Linked DNA regions of Lepisosteus oculatus. The protein of the gene in region 2 interacts with the protein of the main gene of each other region in a biochemical or structural test. Links are inferred from orthologs where the notes say so. Each region holds a gene or a part of one and is shown on either strand. Other genes may lie near its edges.

What was found. The genes of interacting proteins can lie anywhere in the genome.
Region 1: the proteins of ubiquitin-conjugating enzyme E2 N (region 2) and ubiquitin thioesterase OTUB1-like form a complex in vitro, tested with the Homo sapiens proteins (6 studies listed by BioGRID and IntAct, with this or other methods). The link is inferred for Lepisosteus oculatus from reciprocal best matches to the Homo sapiens genes UBE2N and OTUB1.
Region 3: the proteins of ubiquitin-conjugating enzyme E2 N (region 2) and rnf111 form a complex in vitro, tested with the Homo sapiens proteins (4 studies listed by BioGRID). The link is inferred for Lepisosteus oculatus from reciprocal best matches to the Homo sapiens genes UBE2N and RNF111.

What each region holds. Positions count from the first base shown.
Region 1 is NC_090713.1:22,664,834-22,672,707, reverse strand, and holds the start of ubiquitin thioesterase OTUB1-like, read right to left. Parts: upstream 3,020-7,874; 5' UTR 2,954-3,019; coding exon 2,911-2,953; intron 1,512-2,910; coding exon 1,450-1,511; intron 1-1,449. Other genes in the region: cytochrome c oxidase subunit 8A, mitochondrial-like, read right to left, coding at 4,653-4,748, 5,677-5,790; slc22a6l (solute carrier family 22 member 6), read right to left, coding at 6,998-7,091, 7,348-7,551, 7,811-7,874. UniProt on the Homo sapiens protein: Hydrolase that can specifically remove 'Lys-48'-linked conjugated ubiquitin from proteins and plays an important regulatory role at the level of protein turnover by preventing degradation.
Region 2 is NC_090702.1:52,389,764-52,397,130, forward strand, and holds the start of ubiquitin-conjugating enzyme E2 N, read right to left. Parts: upstream 3,066-7,367; 5' UTR 3,035-3,065; coding exon 2,948-3,034; intron 1-2,947. Other genes in the region: mrpl42 (large ribosomal subunit protein mL42), read right to left, coding at 5,469-5,514, 6,175-6,338, 7,343-7,367. UniProt on the Homo sapiens protein: The UBE2V1-UBE2N and UBE2V2-UBE2N heterodimers catalyze the synthesis of non-canonical 'Lys-63'-linked polyubiquitin chains. This type of polyubiquitination does not lead to protein degradation by the proteasome.
Region 3 is NC_090700.1:46,404,263-46,411,626, reverse strand, and holds the start of rnf111 (E3 ubiquitin-protein ligase Arkadia), read right to left. Parts: upstream 3,020-7,364; 5' UTR 2,590-3,019; intron 1-2,589. Other genes in the region: sltm (SAFB-like transcription modulator), read left to right, coding at 4,491-4,625, 5,916-6,003, 6,138-6,193. UniProt on the Homo sapiens protein: E3 ubiquitin-protein ligase. Required for mesoderm patterning during embryonic development. Acts as an enhancer of the transcriptional responses of the SMAD2/SMAD3 effectors, which are activated downstream of BMP.

The sequences.
Region 1 (7,874 bases), on a different chromosome or scaffold from region 2:
CAACGGCTGTCCTACCGATGTCCTACTCCTGGCCAATGTCTGGCCAACGGCTGTCCTACCGATGTCCTACACTTGACCAACGGCTGTCCTACCGATGTCCTACGCCTGGCCAACGGCTGACCTACCGATGTCCTACGCTTGACCAACGGCTGTCCTACCGATGTCCTACGTCTGGCCAACGGCTGTCCTACCGATGTCCTACACTTGACCAACGGCTGTCCTACCGATGTCCTACGCTTGACCAACGGCTGTCCTACCGATGTCCTACTCCTGGCCAATGTCTGGCCAACGGCTGTCCTACCGATGTCCTACACTTGACCAACGGCTGTCCTACCGATGTCCTACGTCTGGCCAACGGCTGTCCTACCGATGTCCTACACTTGACCAACGGCTGTCCTACCGATGTCCTACGCCTGGCCAACGGCTGACCTACCGATGTCCTACGCTTGACCAACGGCTGTCCTACCGATGTCCTACGTCTGGCCAACGGCTGTCCTACCGATGTCCTACACTTGACCAACGGCTGTCCTACCGATGTCCTACGCTTGACCAACGGCTGTCCTACCGATGTCCTACGCTTGACCAACGGCTGTCCTACCGATGTCCTACTCCTGGCCAACGTCTGTCCTACCGATGTCCTACACTTGACCAACGGCTGTCCTACCGATGTCCTACTCCTGGCCAACGTCTGGCCAACGGCTGTCCTACCGATGTCCTACACTTGACCAACGGCTGTCCTACCGATGTCCTACGCTTGACCAACGGCTGTCCTACCGATGTCCTACGCCTGGCCAACGGCTGACCTACCGATGTCCTACGCCTGGCCAACGGCTGACCTACCGATGTCCTACACTTGACCAACGGCTGTCCTACCGATGTCCTACGCTTGACCAACGGCTGTCCTACCGATGTCCTACTCCTGGCCAACGTCTGGCCAACGGCTGTCCTACCGATGTCCTACTCCTGGCCAACGTCTGGCCAACGGCTGTCCTACCGATGTCCTACACTTGACCAACGGCTGTCCTACCGATGTCCTATGCCTGGCCAACGGCTGACCTACCGATGTCCTACGCTTGACCAACGGCTGTCCTACCGATGTCCTACACCTGGCCAATGGCTGTCCTACGGCTGACCAGTGGCTGTCCTACGGCTGTCCTGTACTGAGCACTAACTCTGCAGGGAGACTGGAGCACGGGCTCCATCCTCCCTGCCTCCTCAATCCCTGTTCCCTGCAGCTGCCCGGACCAGCCCGGCCCGAGCACTGACCACGCCGAACACACCGAGCACGCCAAGCGCACGGAGCTCACGCCACCCAGCTGGCCGGGCCCCAAGGGAAACTCCGTATCCCAAGAATATCCCACCTCAGAGGCACACCGCTTGATCCTTCCCAAAACAGATCCCAGGGGATCGCAGCAGATTCCAAAGGGGCCCCGTGGCGGGCGGACTCACCTCCTGCTGGATACGGTCCTGCTGGGCCATGATGGCCTCGTCGTAGGCCAGGCAGTTCACTCCTGCGGACACAAAGAGTGAGAGACGGGGTCACTTCTGACAGACCCACTGACCCACTGACCCCGAGACACCCGTCCACTGCCCCAGAGACATCTATCTACTGACCCACTGACCCCGACACACCTGTCCACTGACCCACTGATCCAGAGACATCTATCTACTGACCCACTGACCCCGACACACCTGTCCACTGACCCCGAGACATCTATCTACTGACCCACTGACCCCGAGACACCTGTCCACTGACCCCGAGACATCTATCTACTGACCCACTGACCCCGAGACACCCGTCCACTGACCCACCAACCCCGAGACATCTATCTACTGACCCACTGACCTTAAGACACCCGTCCACTGACCAACTGACCCCGAGACATCTGTCCACTGACCCCGATACCTCAGATACCTCAGTACACTTTAACCCCCAACACTGACCCCACTGGACACCCCAGTGCAAGGTGACCCTCAACACTGACCCCATTGGACACCCCAGTGCAGTGTGACCCCCAACACTGACCCCACGGGACACCCCAGTGCAGTGTGACCCTCAACACTGACCCCACGAGACACCCCAGTGCAGTGTGACCCCCAACACTGACCCCACTGGACACCCCAGTGCAGTCTGACCCCCAGCACTGACCCCACTGGACACCCCAGTGCAGTCTGACCCCCAGCACTGACCCCACTGGACACCCCAGTGCAGTCTGACCCCACTGGACAACCGAGTGCAGCGTGACCCCCCAGCACTGTCCCCACTGGACACCCCAGTGCAGTGTGACTCCCCAGCCCTGACCCCACTGGACACCCCAGTGCAGTGTGACCCCCCAGCACTGTCCCCACTGGACACCCCGGTGCAGTGTGACTCCCCAGCCCTGACCCCGCTGGACACCCCAGTGCAGTGTGACCCCCCAGCCCTGACCCCACTGGACACCCCGGTGCAGTGTGACCCCCAGCGCTGACCCCACTGGACACCCCGGTGCAGTGTGCTGGGTTCAGACGGCTGGGCTGGGGTAACTCGCTCAGTTCTCTCTCCCTCTCGGGGTTCGCGGTCGAGTGTCACTGATCGGGTCTGTCGGGTCGGCTCACAGACAAACCCCCAGTAACCCAGAGCCGCCTGATCCCCGGATCGGAGACTGTCACCCCGTCGGTCTGGCGCTCTGCCGGCCTCCCTCCCCTCCTAATGTCATCCCTCCATCTCTGTCCCCCTTCCTGTCTTTCTTCTCCGGTTTCCATGTAAACGGCAGCCCCCCCTCCATCTTTCAGACCGGAGATTCGCGGCCTGCTGCCCCGTTCAGTCCCCGGCCTCGGGTTTCACCGCTGGGCCGTCTGAGCGGAGCTCCGCGTCGGGGGCTGCAGAGAGCCGGCCGGCCGTTCCCGTCCCCGTTTTCGCCCGTTTCTTACCTTCCATCTCTCCCTGCGTCGCTTCCTGCTGCTCCTCCGCCATCTTTCCTCTCCGGTCCTGTTTGTCTGACCCCCCTCCCCCCGGCGTCTCGCTCTTCTCCAACAGCTTCCGGGTCAGGCTGCTGGGGATCGCTCGGGGATGACGTCACCGGGGTTTGCATGGCGATAGCTCACGGCTGTATTGTGCCGCTTGAAACCTCTTCTCCTTCGCTTGTATTATCTGATGTTCAATAAAACTGAAAAAGAAAACGGTCGTCTATACTATCGCGCAAACATAGCTTTTACCTAGTATCCCTCGACAGCTTCGAGTGGACAAATACTGAGTTAAACGGGTTGAAGCATCGATTGGTAGGGAATGAGACAGGAATGGTGTAAATCTCAGTTGGACAGTTTGCTTAATCTCCCGGTGCAGGGCAGTGTGAACCCAAACACAGGGCCGAGGTGAGTAAAAACAGCGGTTTCCTCTGAGCGATGACGCACTGTGTGAGAGTGTGTGGTGCTTCTGAACTGAACCAGCCCCGTGAGGGGCTGCAGAGAAACAGGAGTGTTCTGCAGGGATTCTGTGAGGGATTCCTGCTCAGAGCTGTCCAGTGCTGGAGGGTCAGTGTGTCTAGGACAGGGGAGGTGTGACCCACACTGCCCTTCCAAGACTGGGACTGGACAGCTCTGTTCTAGACACTGACCCTCCAGGACTGGACCGGCCAGCTCTGTTCTTAACACACTGACTCTCCAGGACTGGACAGCTCTGTTCTAGACACACTGACCCTTCAGGACTGCACAGCTCTGTTCTGAAGACACACTGACCCTCCAGGACTGGACAGCTCTGTTCTAGACACACTGACCCTCCAGGACTGCACAGCCTTGTTCTAGACACACTGACCCTCCAGGACCGCACAGCCCTGTTCTAGACACACTGACCCTCCAGGACCGCACAGCCCTGTTCTGGACACACTGACCCTCCAGGACTGGACTGGACAGCCCTGTTCTAGACACACTGACCCTCCAGGACCGCACAGCCCTGTTCTAGACACACTGACCCTCCAGGACCGGACAGCCCTGTTCTAGACACACTGACCCTCCAGGACCGGACAGCCCTGTTCTAGAGACACTGACCCTCCAGGACCGGACAGCCCTGTTCTAGACACACTGACCCTCCAGGACCGCACAGCTCTGTTCTAGACACACTGACCCTCCAGGACCGCACAGCTCTGTTCTAGACACACTGACCCTCCAGGACCGCACAGCCCTGTTCTAGACACACTGACCCTCCAGGACCGGACAGCCCTGTTCTAGACACACTGACCCTCCAGGACCGCACAGCCCTGTTCTAGACACACTGACCCTCCAGGACCGCACAGCCCCAGTTTAAAGGAACTTCCAAACCGCTGATGAAGCAAGCAGATGCCTGTTGCAGCTGCTGTCCAGTGAGGCTGTGTTCACTCTGAAGGGCCAGGCAGCCAGGCCTGTGTCCCAGCACACCCCACAGTGGAGTGGGGCAGGACAGGCGGACGGCGCCCTCCGGGGGGAAACAAGGACAGGAGGGAAGTTTAAATAGCTTTTATTGTAACATACTCGTCAGAGGGCAAAAAAAACAAAACATCACAACAACAACAACAACGTGGAGGCAGCGAGCGCCGGGCGGCTCCTGGGAGACCCGCGGACGGGGGCAGAGGAAGGAGGGGAGCGCTGGTCCCTGGGGGTCCGCGGCGGTCCGGTCCAGTCCGGCCCGGCCCGGGGCTCTCTCAGTCCCTCTTCTTGTAGTCCTCCATGTGGGACAGGATCCAGCCGGAGGGGCCCAGGATGGCGAGCGAGAACGCAAACATCCCGATGGCCGTTTCCTGGAAGGGAGCAGAGAAGCCGAGGGGGATCAGGGAAGGAAAGGGAAGGGTGACCCCCCCCGCCGTGTTCCGAGGAGAGGCGTGTGCCCACAGGTCACAGGTCACAGGTCACAGGTCACAGGTCACAGACCGCACAATGGTGGTCAAAGCACAGTGAGAAGCTGGAGATCCCTGGCTGCGCTCCACGGACTAGAAGCTAATTCCTAAAGCCAGGCTCTGCCACAAAACTAGGAATCAGGCATCAGCCGGCAATTCAGAGCCAGGGAGGTGAATAAAGATCAGGGCCTAGAGTCGGGATTCCCCGGAGCTGCAGGAGGTTTCCCTGCCGGCCTTCAGCCATCACCTGTCAGAGTGAGCGCCAGCAGGCCGGGGACTACTCCGGCCGGGACCCCTTCCGACAGCCCTGAGGTTCGGCGCTGATTCGTAAGAAGTTAGTGGGCGGAAGAGCGCGTCTCCATTCCGGCCGAAGCCGACAGGAGTCGGTTTTCCCCACAGCAGAGGAAGGGGGTTATTTAAAGGCGGCCGGTTACATCACACCTGCGCTGATAAACCGTCTCGATCTGCCCTGACCCCCTTTCTAACCATATTACTTATTACTTACTACCTATTTAGGGAGATGGCCGTGTGCGTATTAAAAACCAAGACTGCACGTTATCCCGACAGCTAAACCCGCCACCCGAATCAACGACCTCCAGCCGGACACACCGTGACCTTCCCGCATCACACGGCAAAACAGGAAGAAGGACCAAATTCACAACTACGGCTGATAACTGAGCGTCATGAACTGTTTACTTCTCGCACCACGTCGACCTCCGGGCGATTACAAGTAGGCCCCTGGCACATCCCCGGCCTCGGGTGCGCTCTCCGCCCGGGCTGCGACACCCTCCGGATCCCGGGCCAGCGCCCAGACTCACTCCCGAACACTTACAACGGTGCCGATCGCCTCCTTGGGCGGCTTTGTGTAAATACTAGCCCGCTGGGCGATGGCTGGTCCCCGCAGGGCCGAGCGGGCGGTCAGGACACCTCGCAGGAGTGCAGACATCGCTGTTCCAGTGCTCAAGTCGTAAAACCTGCAGCCGTCAGTTCCTAGCGGAAGGCAATAAGAGTCGTCACGGGAATATGACGTCGACGGCGCGGCCTTCAGGACCGGGGATGTTGGGAATTGTAGTCTTTTGGGTGGGGGTGTCTTATTTATCGACACTCCAGCTTGTAGAAAACCCTCCCACCCCCAAAATAAAACTCGCCGAGGCCCACAGTCAGCCAGAGCTGGCAACCCTACCTCTGGAACGTGCTTCCTTGGAAAGACACCCCCTTCAGTCGGGTGAAGGGAAAAATCCTGCACGTTTCTATACATACTGGTTAGAGGAAATTAAATCTTTAGAATACCTTTCTGAATCCGGCACTATTTTTATTTCATACAGCAGTGCTGTACCTGTAAATAATCTCAAAACCACCAAGCAAAAGCAGACTGAGTTTTAGCCAGAGGGTATGTGCTAGATTATTGAAATTATTTATTTAGGATTTGAAAACATGAGGCAGGAAAAAGACACACCAGGCAAGACAAGGGCAAGTGAGCAACATCCCTTTCCAGGCTTTCTTGAAGGGTCACCGTACAGAGCTGTTCCCTCCCCCTGGGATACATCTTCACCCCTCTCTGTGCTTCAGACAGGTGATGTCCTCTTTACTTAGATCCTGTTTCTCTGTATCTGTATGTGGTCTGACCGATACACAGGCGCTGTGTGGACACGCGGACACACTGAGGCGCACTCAGACTCAGAGACGCACTCATCCGCTGACACGCTGAAGCACACCGGCTCGTTGAACCCCGGGGGTCAGCCCAGGTGACCGCGCCAGACTCGGCGGAGCAGCAGAGACGTGCTGCCGGACGGTCGAAACTGGACGTGCGTTCATTTAGGACGGAGAACAGGAAGCAGTTCTTTACACAAAGGAGAGTTGTGGGTGTCTGGAGCAGGTGGTTGAGGTGATGAACAAAATTTTAGAATGATTGCGCTACTAGACTACCAGATGAGCCACACTGGGATCAAGCCTCCTCTCGTTAGCAGCCAAAAAATTTAAAATCAATCAGCTCTCTGAGATGCTGACACCCTGAGACTCTGGGTACTGATCTAATACGCTGGCATGTGGACAAGGCGCATATATGGGATACAGACAATAAGGCGATAGGACTGGCCAATGGGAGTGTTTATAGAAGTGATGGGGTGTGGTCATTTGTGATTGGGGGCGTGGTCTCATATGGCCTCTTTCAGCAGCGAATGCTTGACCTCTTTCAGCACAAGCTCCTCCTTTTTGGGCGGAGCCTTCGCCGCCTTCTGCCCCTGCGCTCTGGAACAGGGAGAGACGCATGTTAAAATGTTAAAAAAACAGTAATTAAGTCAGCAGAAGTTTATATATTCATTTATAATTCAGTTGTCCAGAACTGTACGCTTGGACAGGAGACAACTCGTGGTTCAGGTCCAGTGTTATAAGACCAGCTGGTCCGGTGGCTCAGGTCCAGTCTTTTGGAAAAGGAGGTTCCTCTGGAGCCCGACAGCGTCAGAACAGTCCCAGCCCTCCCTGGCGCCCCTGCGTGACCCCTCACCTCTCCTCCACGTCCTGGATGGTGTCAGGCAGGGCGACTGCCAGCGTCTCGGGGAGGAAGGCGGCGATGATCCCCGAAACAACGGGGGCGCCCCCGTAGATCAGGCCGGGCAAAAAGAACCGGAACTCCCCCAGCAGCTGCACCAAGGGGGCGACCATGGCCCCCAGCCGGGCCATCATGCTCACCCACCCCATGCCATTCTGTCTGGGGAGAGGGGGCAGGAGGGAGACGGAATCAGCACCCCGTATTCCACCCTGATGGTGGGGTACAGCCCCCTGGAGGAGAGACAGCGGCACTAGAGAGAGGGGGGGGTGATAGGGGGAGGAACTGGGGTACAGCTCCCCACAGTAGAGACAGCAACACTGGAGGTGATGGGGTGATAGGGTGAAGATTTGGGGTACAGCTCCACGGTATAGAGAGGGAGAGGACTGGGGGTGACGGGGTGAGGAATCGGGGGTGTTACCGGATGACAGTGGGGTACAGCTCCGCGGAGTAGAGGTAGCAGCACTGGAAGGAGGCAGCCAGAC
Region 2 (7,367 bases):
GTTTTAGCCTGCAGAGTGACTCAACCACTCTCTGCGTGCAGGCAGGATGCTACAATCCGAGCGCCACTTGTTCCAACCTGGGTCATGTCACTAGCCCAGTGCTAAACTGGCCAAGAGGTGCCAGAGATATGGTGGGAGTTAGTCAGGCCAGGACTCTCTCAGCTCAAAGTGACCTCTGTGAACCTCCTGGGCACCTGCAGATCGGAAGTGATGTCATAGAGGGGTGCACCTCTCCTCCAACCAATGCTGAACTTCCTGAACGAGGCTGCATAGCCTGCGAGGTGTAAAAATATGAACAGCTTGAAAGCAGGTGGGCTGTGGGAGTCTGGCAGCATTTCCTCATTCTTGGGTATGGCTGCAAGGCTCATAGCTGTAAGCTGAGACTTGAAAGCACAACTGTCAATTGCAAATCGGGTGGGCGGACATCACAAAAATATGTAAAAAAATTTCCCAAAAAAGACACAAAATACTTCAAACAACTTTAAAAAATCTCATGCTTAGGGACACTCCCTCACTATGATGCTGTAGAATCATTCTACCTGCCTCCCAATGCACCTGGTCTCACACCTTTTTTGGAGTTATTTAGGAATAAAATTAAAGACCCCAACAACTAATAGCGACTCACACCAAGTAGGGATGTTGCACAGTAAAAACCTGTACTTCATGATCAGCCAACACATTTCATTAAATGCATTGCACAAGAATCTGTAAGCCCTCTCTGCACTAAAGAGCACTGCAGTGCTTAACTGCTGTACATCAGTCATTTTCAACACAAAGAGGCAGTGATTCACATACCACAATAACAGATTTCAAGCCTTGTCTCAGATTTTCTATTCTAATTCAATATAAAATCCAGAACCTTCTGTGGTTTCTAAATGCAAGTTAAAATTAAGTATTTAAGGGAGTAAACATTACCTAGCCCGGATTTTTCACCTTTCCTGGATTTAACTCCCTTTAATCCAAAACTATACCTCAAGGCTTTCTGTAATGAAATGGTCTTACGGTGATATTCAGTTAGTTCCACTGTGAATTGGCTCTAACCAGCAAGCACACATTGCGTGATTGTCAGATCTGCAAATATAATTTCCTTCAGCAGAACAGCACAGAAAGTCATGCAACTCAGCATCTAAGAAACACCATTTCCCTTAATTTACTCCGGGAGATGGTTCTGGCGTCCGTGTGACCCTGCATCAGATAACGCAGTGGGATAAATGGAACTCAAAGTGAAGATAATTGTGAAGGAGTTAGGTTTTCTGTACACGTATTCCATTCTACACAGGAAGAGACAACTGATGCCATCTACAAGGGCTAAGTCAACAAAACCACACCTCCTCACTCTGCCAGACCTAAAAAAAAACAATCACTACGTGCCTCAATAAGCAAACGCAACGCTTACAAATCTGCCAACACAACCAGCTTTTCACTGAGCACTCTTCGATGCGGTAGCAGAATACCAATTGCACAAGAGCTGAATAGTATAAAACAAATCCAGGTTTCACATTATTAAGCATACTGGCACTGTTGGGGACAATGAACTATTTACAACGAGAGAGAAACTGAACTGCATTTGCTGCCTCACTTCCTGGAATTGTGTTATGATGGAAGATTTTATATGAAACCCATGATCACCTGCTAGTACCCATGAAGAGACCGCACACATTAGAATTTCGTCTACAGCTACAGAGTTCAGTGCTTTATGCGCATGTGAAGGGCTTTTAAATCTGAAAAAGAAAACGAATTACTCTCAGCCCTGATTAAAAGGAGCTGCTTGTTCTTCCAACAACAGGTCCGAAAGCCCCGGATTAATTTGCTAGCAGCAACCAGACCGCCTGGACGGGCCGAGGCGAGCTGAACACCCTCCTCGAGAAATTAAAATGAAACGTTCCTCGGCAGCTATAGGGGTCCTGCTGCGTTTTTTTAACACCCACGTCTTTCTACCAGATGAAACGTAGGAGTGCTCTACACGGTGCTGAAATTCACGTCGCTAGAGGGGCATTCTTAGACGCTTCTCCAGCGCGCTGCACCCACTACCCACTAGCTAAACCATCCTGATGCGGCACCAGACCCGATTCGGGTAGGCGCTAGCGTCATTTCACCCCCACCCTTTTTTTTTTTCGCCACAAGCGTCACGGCAGTGCCTCCAACAAAAGGCCGCGACGATAAAGATCGTCACGAAGCAGCTCGGATCGGCAAGGCCCGGGCGAAATGTCCTCCCAGCACCGGCAGCCGCGGCGTGCTGACCCCCGCCCTGCCCTGCCCTCCCCTCACACCCATCTCCGAAAACTCGCTTCTCCCATCTCATTCATTTCTATGGGCCCTGCGCGGCGAGATCCCGCCCATGACCGAGGCCTTAGCCCTGGAGGGGAAGCCCTGCGCAGGCGGAGGAGCGGGACCCGAGCGCCGGCCTGTCCCCTCTTCCGCCTCCCTCCCCTCCCGATTGCAAACACGACCCGCCGGGAGCGGCTGGCAAACATCTCGGGGCGCGATCAGATCAAATACCCCTCCACGCCCGACTGCTAAACGGCTGCTCAAGTCACCCACCCCCCCGCCTCTCTTTTTCCACGGCAGCTCTCGATGACATTTTCAGATGGCCTACACATGGCGCTTGCCTGCACGGCTCGGGGAGCGGGGAGTGGGAGGTCTGATCTGCTGCTGCGAGAAAAAAAACCCGGTTCCGCTCATTTTAAACCGCCAACAGTCCTTCGTAAGACGACAAGGGCCCCGATTCTCCGCCATCTTTAACCAGGGAGGAGGTATTTTTAACCCAGCCTCAGTCGGGCACTCGGGCTTGGAGCAGAGAATAAGCGGAAGTAGCCGGGGAAAATACTCGTATTGCAAGACTACTTAGCCGTGCGGGAGCCGCTTGCTCACTATTTTCCCGTCCCCCCTTGGGGCAAGAGAGCTGCCAGTACGCTACGGTTTAGTGCAGAAAGCTGTAGCGGCTTACCTTGATGATCCTGCGGGGCAGTCCTGCCATCTTGTCGTAATGCGGTTTCAGCTCTGACTCTCTCGCTGCTTCTCCTCTCACTTGCATTCACGGCGCTAGGGCGCAGTCGCACGGCTCTTCCGGTGAATGCCAGCACTGCCTCCCCGCATGCATGCCGGGTAATGTAGTTGTCCGGGGGCTGAGCGGCTACGTACACGCCGGGAGACGTCAAATGAAATGAACTACACGTCCCGACAGACGCCTAGGTGGATCACTCCCGTACTCCACGCCGAGCTACAACTGTTAACTACCATATAATGCATTAAACGGACCCAAAATGCACATCAATAACTGACGTTTAGAGGACTTCTGTGATGTGAAAGCTAATATTCATCACTTATGTTGACGTCTTAGAATTTCCCCGCAAAAAGGCAGTTTTATAGTTACCACTACAGCCACGGCATATAAGGAATAATACAGAATATTATTCCTTATAAGGAATATAATTGCAGCACAAAATATCTGCTAGATCATAATCTTAATATAAATAATATAATTAATAATTAATATAAATAATATAATTAATATTATTTACATTAAATAATAATATAAAACGCAACGTTGTGTCTCCTTCTCTTCTCAGCATGGAATAAACCTTTATTTCTTTGCAGCTGACGCAGCTACCTACTTGAACTAGTTTGTAAACTGGCTTCATATAGAAATATTTTTTCATTTTTAATCAGTTTTTCATCATATGTATATATTTGGCAGTAATTATTAGGTAATTATTTGAACCTATGTACAGTTTTATCACATTATGTCTTTCTTCCTTTTAATGGATGGGGGTTATAAAATAAGTATGACCCTTGAGAGATGGACTTAAGTTTTGTTGATGGCCTGCAAATATCAGCTTGTGTTTCTTCTTGAGTACAGTGGGTAAAAGAGATTTTTTTAAAGTGCTTCCACTTAAAAGACTAAAATTCCTCGACTTAAATATTCCTTTAATACATCAGCCTTTTCTCTTCCCTCATTTAAAACTTTCCGTTCCCTCAGAGCCAGTTAATTTTCTGTTGTCATGCTAGAAAAATAAACATTTACATTCAGCCTCAATTCCATTTTTCATTTCCATCTCTCTCCTGACATTTCTAAAATCCTTTCTTCACCCGGTCACACTGTCCTTACATTCCTTTTCTCAACCGCATGCCATTCTCCTCTGAACATTTTATAAAGTGCACTTATCCTCTCAGAAGTTTTCTAGTTTTATCTGCGAGAGACTGCCACCAATACTTTGGCTCCTGTAAACAAAAACAGTTTCAGAGCAAGTATATCTCGCAATTTTTTCAGATGGGGGTAAGGAATTCTCAGATTTCTCTTCTAGACCTTTTTTTTGGTCAAATGTCTAAAACTTAAGTACTCTTAATTCGATTGGCATGTTATTTATATGCTGTCAAGGAACGATTTTGGTGTTTTTCAAGTATATAGCAACTATATTGCACTGCCTGAGTAGGCTATACACTGTGATGCTGAGGGACAGAAAGACTGTAGATGCTTACAATTAACTAAACCATATATATCTTAAGCTTAAATCTTTCAGACAACCACAACAATTTTGTAACAGCTCATTGAACTTGAAGTGCACTTGAACCAGTCAGATCAAATCAGGAAAATCAGTATTTTGGCCAGTGTACGTATTTAAAGGAGGGATCAGATAAATATTTACTTGGCTGCCTTTAATCTAAAATGACTTGCACATGTATCCATTCATACAGCAGAGTATAAAACTGAAGTATTTTGGGTGAAACAGCTTAATAAATAGTCCAACAGCAGTGTCTTGAATCATATTTGAAGCTACAATGTGAATTTCACCATCTAGACCTCTAACCACTGCTACATATATATATAAAATAAATAAACAATCCACCATTGTGTAGTAAAGAATCACATTGCAGAGCTCAGCCAAGTCATTTATGTATAAGCACGTGTTGGTAATCATTTACTACCACTTTGTGAGATCTCACTGAACTGCAGTCACACATTTCACAAAAAATCACGTAAGTTGCTTTGGAAAGTGATCAGATATTTTTCTGAATTCACATATGTCATCATAACAAGAGGTGGCTCATAACTTGAGGTATTCCATTCATTTCGTATCTAAAATAGGATTTTGCACAGGAATGAGAAATAATAATAGTTCAAAGAAGGTCAGTAGTACTAATTCCATGTTATGTACAGTATATTACAGAAGAATTAGAAGGAAATTATAAGTTTCCTTATAATATTTTAAAATATCCTAGCTTCATTGTTTGTGGTTCCAATGTTGTGTGCCTTTTAACAGCTGTTAAATGAGTGTCAAATGAATGTTCTTGTTACTTTCATGACCTAGAGAATGGACATATTTTCAAAGGATCTTCAGGACAGCACTCAAAATCATTTGCAAAACATACAGTAAAGCAATTAGAACTGCAGTTTTTATTCGAGGACTTCAAACATCTTCACAGACAGCACAATGTCACCATTTCTTGAATGTCAGCTGTGTTCAAGACTATCTGTCTCTGGGAGGGTCAGTCTTTTTACGTCGCCTGTGGTACCTGAGAGGAAATAAAAATAAATTTCAGAAATTGGTCTCTGTGCAATATCTCACTCAGCAGCTACACCATGAATCTGTTTGTCAGAATTAATCCATCAAAGTAAATCACTTAATCTGACTGAACTGAGTTAAAAACAAATTTGAGGAATAGGTCTATTTTATCACTTTCTCCATCCAAGTTAAAATATACATTTTGTGGAACTGGGCCCTTCAAATAAAAAGGTTGGACTGCCACACAATTTTTCTACTCAAATTTTCATACCACAGGCAGACGCAAAAAACACAATACTTAAATGTGTAGTTCTGTGTACTTTATTAACTGGAAGAAATAAATAATTCTATATATAAAAATTAAAATAACTCTGAAAAATATGGGAGCCTACATTAGAGATTATCTTTTGTGTAAAAATTAATAGTATATAAAAACAAAAAATATAGTATTATACTGACATGCAATTACGTCATGTAATTTATCAGAAATTGCCACACCCCCATAAGGCATACAGATGTATAGGTTGTGATCTACTATGATCTACTTTGTTGCATACTGTACATTTTAACCTTAATTCTGCAACCAGCATATCACACTAACAGCACACAGCAATAAAAAACTAAAACAGTGTGCAATTCTTTTCAGGCCTTTACAGGATATTGTACTTACTGTCCTACTGGGTACCAGCGGTGTTTAGTGGTGTAGAACATCTTGCTCAGCTCTTCAATGGTGGGCGCCTGTTTATTTCGCAAAACTTCTTTATTCAAGTGAGCCTTCAGAACCTGATCATGTGTTTCCTCAGGTCTGTTCAGGGGGTCTGGTTGAGGGATAGGCTAGACCAGGAATAATAAACAATGACGTTTTGTGAAGAGCAAAATTCGCTTAAATTGCACTGGGAGGTATTCATTTTCACAACCCGTTCTTATTTAAAGAAAAAGAGCTAGACACACATCGTGCTCTAGACAAACAAATGCAACAGTGCGGCCATTTCCCAAATGATTTTAATCTAGATTCCATTCCATAAGTGTTGAGAAGAAGCTAATGTTGCAAAATAACGTTCCAACAGGCCATAGTTGTGCATTACAATTTACAAGGAGCATTTCTTTTCCACCCTGGCTAAAACTGGTAACTCGCAGACCAGCCCCAGAACAATGATCTCAGGAAAGGAGTGAGAGACCACGTTTCACTTTCACTACTAGAGCTGCTTCCTGTGGTACCGGCCTTCTAATGCTGAAGACTGGGCATCAGCAGATTGCAAGAAGCTGCACTTTGCATTGCATGACTCTGGGGTGCTATTAATTTTAAATTTAAATTTAATACCAAATTTAAGTCATGCCTGGAAATGTTCTATAATTGAAATGAGCTTACCACCCGATGCAAGAAAATTTAACAAAACCAAATGACATGACAGGCACCCGCAAACCTAGGACCATGGTAAGATCCACTACCAAAAGCGACCTCGCGCCAAAGGTGATACGGTGCTTAAATAGAATTCACTCACTTGATGATGTTACTTAATTTAACCGTCAGCTGTATACAAGGTTACATTCAAAACTGTCAATTAACTTTAGAAGAAAAATATCAATCAGCATAATCAATCAAGACAGAAATCACAACAGTAAGGAATACGATCTAAAAGTAAATGCTACAATGTGGGTCTTGATATTGTGGTGGAAGGTGATCAGATATGGTGCTGTCCTACAGTAAGTGCATAAGACACAAATGCACCTAGAAAAACACCAAGCTGGTGCTCTGACTGGATCTGAAAACCTTCTGTTGCAATCTGCCTGTAACGCGATTTGCTATTATGATGAAGGTGATGTCCTGCAGGGTGTACCTGGGTGTGTTCGTAGGGGACGTCC
Region 3 (7,364 bases), on a different chromosome or scaffold from region 2:
GCACTGACAATGCAAGAGCCAAGACCACTCCATTCATTTTCAGACTCGGGATCCTGGCAAGACTAAGAACTTTTTGTGTGTGCAGAAATATCGCAAGTCACAACTGCAGCGAGCTCACATGTGCGTGGTAAAGAGACTTGCCAGAATGATCCAGAATGAAAAACCAAGTACTGATGAGGACAGAAACTCAGCACATGCCTTAACTCACTTATGCTGAAATTCAGGGTCAAGATAATAAACAAATGGTGATCTTCATCCTAAATAGGCTTCCTCTTAATGATGCCATTTAGTGTATTCATAATTGACTAATGAAATCCGGCTTACAGTATCGATAAATGGACATTGTATAAGATAAACACCAGTTTCCCCAATTACAAAGCTGTTGATTTCATATTCTTTACATTCTTCCATTAATTCAATTCTAACACAGCTGGGATCCTCAAACCACAAGGTACACAGACCTGCCTTATGGTGTCTTCTAGCTGGACCAAGCTTTGCAACGGAGGTGACACCAAGAACAAACACCAACTCCTATTGTGACAAGTGCACAAATATTTGATACAAACCACCTATGGTTCCATACAGGCTATGAAGGGTGCTTTGGCAGTGTGTGTAAACAGGTAGAGTGCAATCCTTGTGTTAGTAATGTTTTTCACCTTCACCAGACAGCAGTACAAAGAGAGAAACTGGCACTGGTTCTGGTGAACACCAATGTTAGCGTCCAGTGTGAATGGTGCCACAAAGCAAGAACATGCAGAACCTGTTACGATACAAATTATAATACACCCTCTACTTTCTCTTTCTCTGCGTTTTCCACCTTGCTAAATATAGTGATGCATGATGACATCTTTAGCCTGTTTTGCTAGGAGTGTTATCTAACCACATTTAAAGTTTCTAAAATAGAAGAGGCACTGTTGACATACATCAAGATAAACTAGAGGTGCTAATCTTGGATACAGCTATAGGTATACCAGTGACCACATTAAAATACTGAACTGTTTAAAAATAGAAAATAAAGCATCACACATATGACACAAGCAAGAATCCAGGGCCCCTGAAGACATTATTTGGAAAAAGGTTGCTCTATGACAGAAAACGTAACAACTGTGTCATTGCTCACTTATAAAAGAGCTATCTGTATCATAATTAAACTAAAACTAAGTCTGGAAGATCAAAATGTAAGTAAGGGCCTATATACTCTGAATATATTCTCAACATTTGTTCTGCTAGGTATGGTTCCCGGGCAATTTTTCAAATATGTGAAAAGTGGGGTCTTAACAGGCAAAGGTTACACAAGAGAAAACAAACTTTTCAAGTTTTGGCCGTAAACCTTTGCTTCTAAGTGGTTAAAATGAAAGCCCTGGGGTATCTGTGTGTCCCAGCTTGCACACACTGCTCCCCAGAGCAGCCAGTCACCGCCAGCCGCTGTCTGTTTGTACCTTATGGGTGTATACTTTATACTTAGTTCTCCTACGGGATAGAACATAGATGTTCACGTTGAGAAACGGAACAAAAAATGTATTACTCGATTTCTTTTAGAGGAAATGGCTTCAGAGTCACACACCCAGTGGATATGCAGGCGGTTCTAAGATTCACTTGGTACTTTCTTCACAAATCACATTAAAAAAAACAAACAAACATTGCGCCGAATATAAAAAGCTTCAGATCTGCACCAAGTACATCTCGGCGTGAACTGTACGAGATAAAATGAAGGTTAACGTGCTCTGCACCTCTTTAAAACTTCGGTATTTGATCATGCGCTTTCTTCCATTGTTATATGACTATTACTTAGGATCAATAGCCGAAGCTGAAGGAAAGACAATTCAATACTAGCTTTAGAACGAAGAAGTGGAAACGAAAAGGGAAGATTGAGCAGGGCGATTTCTTTAAAATATCACGATGGGACACGCTAGTGTCTACGCTTTCCACACCGAGCAGTTTACAATGCCAAGACTATAGATGACATTCGAAACTGTCTTATAGAAGTGGGGACATTTTTCTCGCTGGATTTTTAACTGTCTGTATTACTCTCTTAAAGGAGAAAGGAACAATAACTGGGTTGCAAGGGGCAGGACATGTCCAGAGCGAGCTCGGACCAGCTAACTCCGTGTACAAACATTTCGCTTGGATTAATGCAATCAATTGTATATTAGCATTTAACATCCAAATGATTGTCTAAAGCTCAACGACCATGCCTAAGTGAACAATTTATCAACGCAACATCGAGCACATCACAACAAAAACCTACGTTCTGCCTTACCCAAGATTTCCCATCTGTCACTGTCAATAGCCCGAACCGAAAAAGGAGGGGGGCAGGGGCACTGCGTATGAAAATACTCTAAATTAAAACTATCACACAAAAAAAGGCGATAAAAGGGCACAAGTCAGGAATTCAACTCGCTGGTTCTCCTTTTCAGACGAGTTTAATTCTGAATCCGGTTTATTCAATAGTCGTATACCCACCCACCCCCTTCTCCATTTCCCCAGGCGAAGTCAGAAGCCATTTGAATTAGCACTCTGATCCGAAATAGCTCGTCGTACTGATCAAGTACTGCCACTACTGAACGTTAAGGAGAAATAAAAACGTACCTTTCACGCCAACAGGCCCCAAACTCGACACTGCTCTCCAACGGATTCCGTTTCTGACGAAAACCTTCAGCGAGGACCTGAAAATGAGGGCAGCCCACTGAAAATAAAATAGCGTAGAGAAACCCTCGGACGTCAGCAGCGCCTGGTTGTGAAAGTGATAACACAAACCCAACAACAGCCCCAAAGGCCCCGATACTGTAACTGGGGGAGATCTAGTTAAATTCGCCTTTTTTCTCCTTCAACCGCCCAGTCCCCGGCTATCAACTGAGGCCGGGATTCATTTAAGGTTTCGAGAAAGGCGGAAAACCTTTCCTTTTGCCATTTGGGCCCTCGATAAAGCAGTCATTCCTGCCTCGCTTGGGCTGTTGTTTATTCAGGCGAGCTCCTCTTCGTAGCTGCGCTTGCCTGATCTGTTTTCTGCACAATCCCCCGGAGCCTCGCTTCAGCGAGGGACGCTTCACGACACTTTTCGACACTGTAGAGGCTGTTTACGGCATGCCCTTTCCTGGGCAAGGGGTCTTCGAAACATGAGGCGCTGTGCCCACTAGTGGTCGTTTGTGGCAAGTGTTTTGTACTAGAACCTATGCAAATGTAAGATAAGCGACACGATTGTATGTAAATAGAAAGCTGGTATTATATACTGAATATGGACTTCTTGAATATTTTTTGTAGGTAGATTAAATTTACGTCCGAAATAACTACATTTTCTTAATTATATAATTTACATATATAATTTTATTTGGTGACATTTTTGTAAAGCAACAATCACATTTTTGAATAGATTTTGTAAAAAGACAGTTCACATTTGGAAAATCTGTCTAATCACGTTGTCGAAGCTGGACCACTAGGACTAGGACATCTTGTATGTGTAAGCTGATAACCCAAAAAGCACGATATACCAAAAGGTGACCTTTCTTTCATAAGCCTCTTTCATTTCGATATCTCTGTAATAAGAATTTCCACTTGTTTTCGCAATTCCAAAAGCCCACACATGTTGGTACAGAAATATGCTAATGTCGACGGACAAAGGCTTTAAAAGCAAACTGTAATGGAAATTGTCTTCACAGATTTTAAAATCTTTGACTAAAATATCCAAAATAATTGTCCACTGTACATTATATAATTGTGAATGCGAAGAATTCATACACTGCTTTATGATAGAGATACAGAAGCGACACATCCGATTATCTTTATTTAATGTTGCAAGCAAGTTAATTCAGCTCTGGTTAGGCATGTTCTTTAATATTTAATATTAAAAGCATTGGGGAGACCACAAGTGTACAGTATGAATAAGTGAATTTCGACGTGAAAACAGGTGACAGATCTTTAGACAAAGAGCTGGGGATGTGCACGCTGTCACAGTATAGGACCTGATTTACAGGGGTGCTCCAGAAAAGCTAGAATATCCTCAGTACGTAGTAACCAAATTATCAAAATGTTAGAAATACCTTATTCCAATTTGGATGCTTTGTTATTAAAAAAAAACATTACACATATTTTAGTCGTTCTAAATAATCTTATTATTTTTAAACTTTTTTGTCTCACGATTTTCTAAGATCCGATTTAATAATGTTTAATTATTTTAAAAGTAAACGTCTATATAATCCGAAGAATGAGGTTGGTCTATTTTCTAGCATAACATACCTATACATTTTATTAATTATAAATCGCAAAACTGCCTAATTTATTTTCTTCCTTCTTTTCTCTAATATACTGTGTGAACACGGATTTCAGAGGTCAAAAGTGGAATAATACGTTGACAAAATTCATTTCTGAAATTCTAACCAAATCCTACAGAAAAAAAATACTTACGTCATCACGTTGTACGCGTCGTCAACATCCGGGAACTGGCGGTGTTTCCATAACCATAAACACCTTCCTTTCTCATTCAGTTTGGCAAAATGGCGTCGGCAGCCGTGGCCACTGAGATTAAGAAAATCACAGAATTACGGGTCATAGACCTTAAAACCGAGTTAAAGCGGAGGAATTTGGACATCACGGGAGTAAAGAACGTCTTAATTGCAAGGCTGAAGCAGGTAAGCCTGTATTATCAGCGGCCTTAAAATCTTGTTGTGTTTTTTTCTGCAGAGAAGGCCTTGTTTTCCCCTCCCACCATGCATACTTAGTTGCTGGATATCAAGTGTGTGGATGTTTGTCACTTTCGCTTTCCAATTTCTGTAGATATAGAAACACGGTGGAGTTTTGCAAATAATAAAAACGATACGGTCATACTCTATTGAACGACAATAAGAAAGCTTTGTGTATTCTTCATATGCGCAAAAATTGGCTGTTTTATTACTATAGAATAGACCTGTAAGTGGTAGGCGCGAATGAATTAATAGTCGTTTTCAAGTGAGATCAATAATATTGACAAAAACATTCCCCTTTTCCTTCGGATAATGTGTGGCTTTCTTAAATTTTGGAAAAACCTAAGTAAGAAGACAAACGCCCGGTTATCTCATCTAGCCAGGTTTGATTGGATGCTGGGGTGCAAATTGAGCCGAGGTACAAGTTCGTTTTAATGAACGTCCCTTTTTGTTATACGGTCGACTTCTACATAGCTTCGTTTACACTCGGTAGTGTTTTTTTTCCTGATCAACCAGGTAAAGAAATGGCGAGGTCCTTTATAATGACGGTGTGGAGGGTATACAGCTATTCTGGAGCGATTTGAGTCAAGCACGCTTAGGGAAGTCGAACCCGGGTTTTGCAATAAGGATCCCAGGACTCTCGGCGTCCATAGTCCTACATAACTGCAGATGCGTTATTTAAAGCCAGATATTCACCTTTAGGTGTTCTGTGTTGGTATGTATGACGCAGCAGTGAATGTCGTCCCTGTCCCAGATTGTGGTAAAAGAAGAAAATGGGGGTGTCATTCCTAAAGGACTGGCGAAGGTACAGCATGCAGTTACTTGATGTTACAGAAATCAAGTGTCTTGTGTTGTTCAACAATGGAGACATTATTTTGATTTGCGTATTTGAAACTGCAGATTTATTATGAGGTTTGGTTTTTAGGGAAAGACTGGTCTTATTGGTGTGAGTTGTTGCTGCCAGCTTGGCTTAATCTCTTCTCAGTATCCTCTGTGTATGCTGGTGCCTTGGCTGTTTTGAGGTGGTGTCCTGCAGTTGTTACTCGTTATCACGGAGGTCAAAGGGGTTAAAATAAATAAACTTTGTTGCCCGGCATTTGCAATAAGGAGACCCCCTTTTGCCTGTTCCTTGAAAATCCTTTTTTTAAAGGGTTGCATTGTGATTTGGTAGTGTTCTGCAGGTATTTGTGAGAGGGTGCAATTTATTCATACTGAATCATTGTCATGTTTACTTTTCAGGCTATTGAAGAGGAAGGTGGCGATTCCGATAATATCGAAATTCCACTGAACGCAGATACCCCCACAAGGAAGAATGCGAAGTCAAAAGGTAAATGGTTGTGGTTGTTGAAATCGCATCTGGCTTCTTCTTTCTACATTAAAATATTTAAATTTGAGAATCTGTTAACTTTAGAAATCAAGAAACTTGTGTGTGAAGTTCACTGAATATAATTCTTCATTTAGGAAGAAAACTGGATGCAGACATGGACGCAAACCTGGAAGAAGATTCTTATTGCAAGGTACGTATCATCACTGTTGAATTTTTTTTTAACTTTCAAATACATTGGACTGATCTTGTCGGATCTTGCATATCACAAGTTACACACAGACAAGGGTATGATCAGCAGGTGTTGGTAGAACTGTTGGCACTATTATCCCTTTGCCAGAATTTCAACATCAACTTGACTGGTCCAGCGTTCCGGTACAATCAGTTTATTCTACATTTGTGTGAGCTCACTAAATCAATATTCTTATAACCCTTTTAACCAGTTGTGATATAGCTATACCACACTCATAAAATCTAGAGGAGTAAAAGGGCTGTTAGTGGTTGTTTGCTTTGACTAGATGTGAGGGTGAATTATATCTGTTAAAGAAGATTACTTATAATGGTCATAATTGACTCTCCGCTTAATAGATTTTGGATTTAACAGACAAACTGCTAAAGGGAGTTTTGCAAAATCAAGAATATGGAACTTTCCCCGCAATAATGTAAAACTGTAGTGAGTTCAGCCGACATGCTTGGTTTATTCTTATAACTAGAAAAAAATAGAAAACATGAAAGTACAAATGCGTTGTAAAATCTGTTTAATGTAAAATACTGTTAAAGTACATATGCAGAACAAAGATTTCATCACAGACATTGAATAAAAGTCTATTTTATTACAGTGCAATACTTTATTCATGTACGAAAAACCAATGTACTACCAATGTGTATTCCCACAAGGAGAACTAGAATGCGATGAATGTGTAAGTGGTCTCGGTAAAATGCAAAAATAGTAAAACAAAAACTTTTGTACGACATACATAGGTTTTTATATAGGTTTAAAGGGTATGAATACCAGTACTTTGGTAAGCCTTTTTGGGGTATGTGAATTCCTTATGAAGTGGGCTGTGCCTTGTATGCATCCTCAAAATTTTGAAAAAAACATTTTAAATAAATATATTAAAATGTTAACAATATGTAAAGAAAAGGTATGTAGAATACAAAAAAAAACAAAATACTTAATAGTTTTGTAATTCAGCAATATCAATGGTGCCCTATAGGGGTAGGTCATTAGTGTATGATGGGTGTGTTTCATATGCATTAGTGAACATCATACAGTATATGTATGGCTCATGAAATAAAGAGCTTGTGTATTTGTTTAAAAAAGGCACAGGCACATTTTACATGGTATTGATTGCACAGCTAGT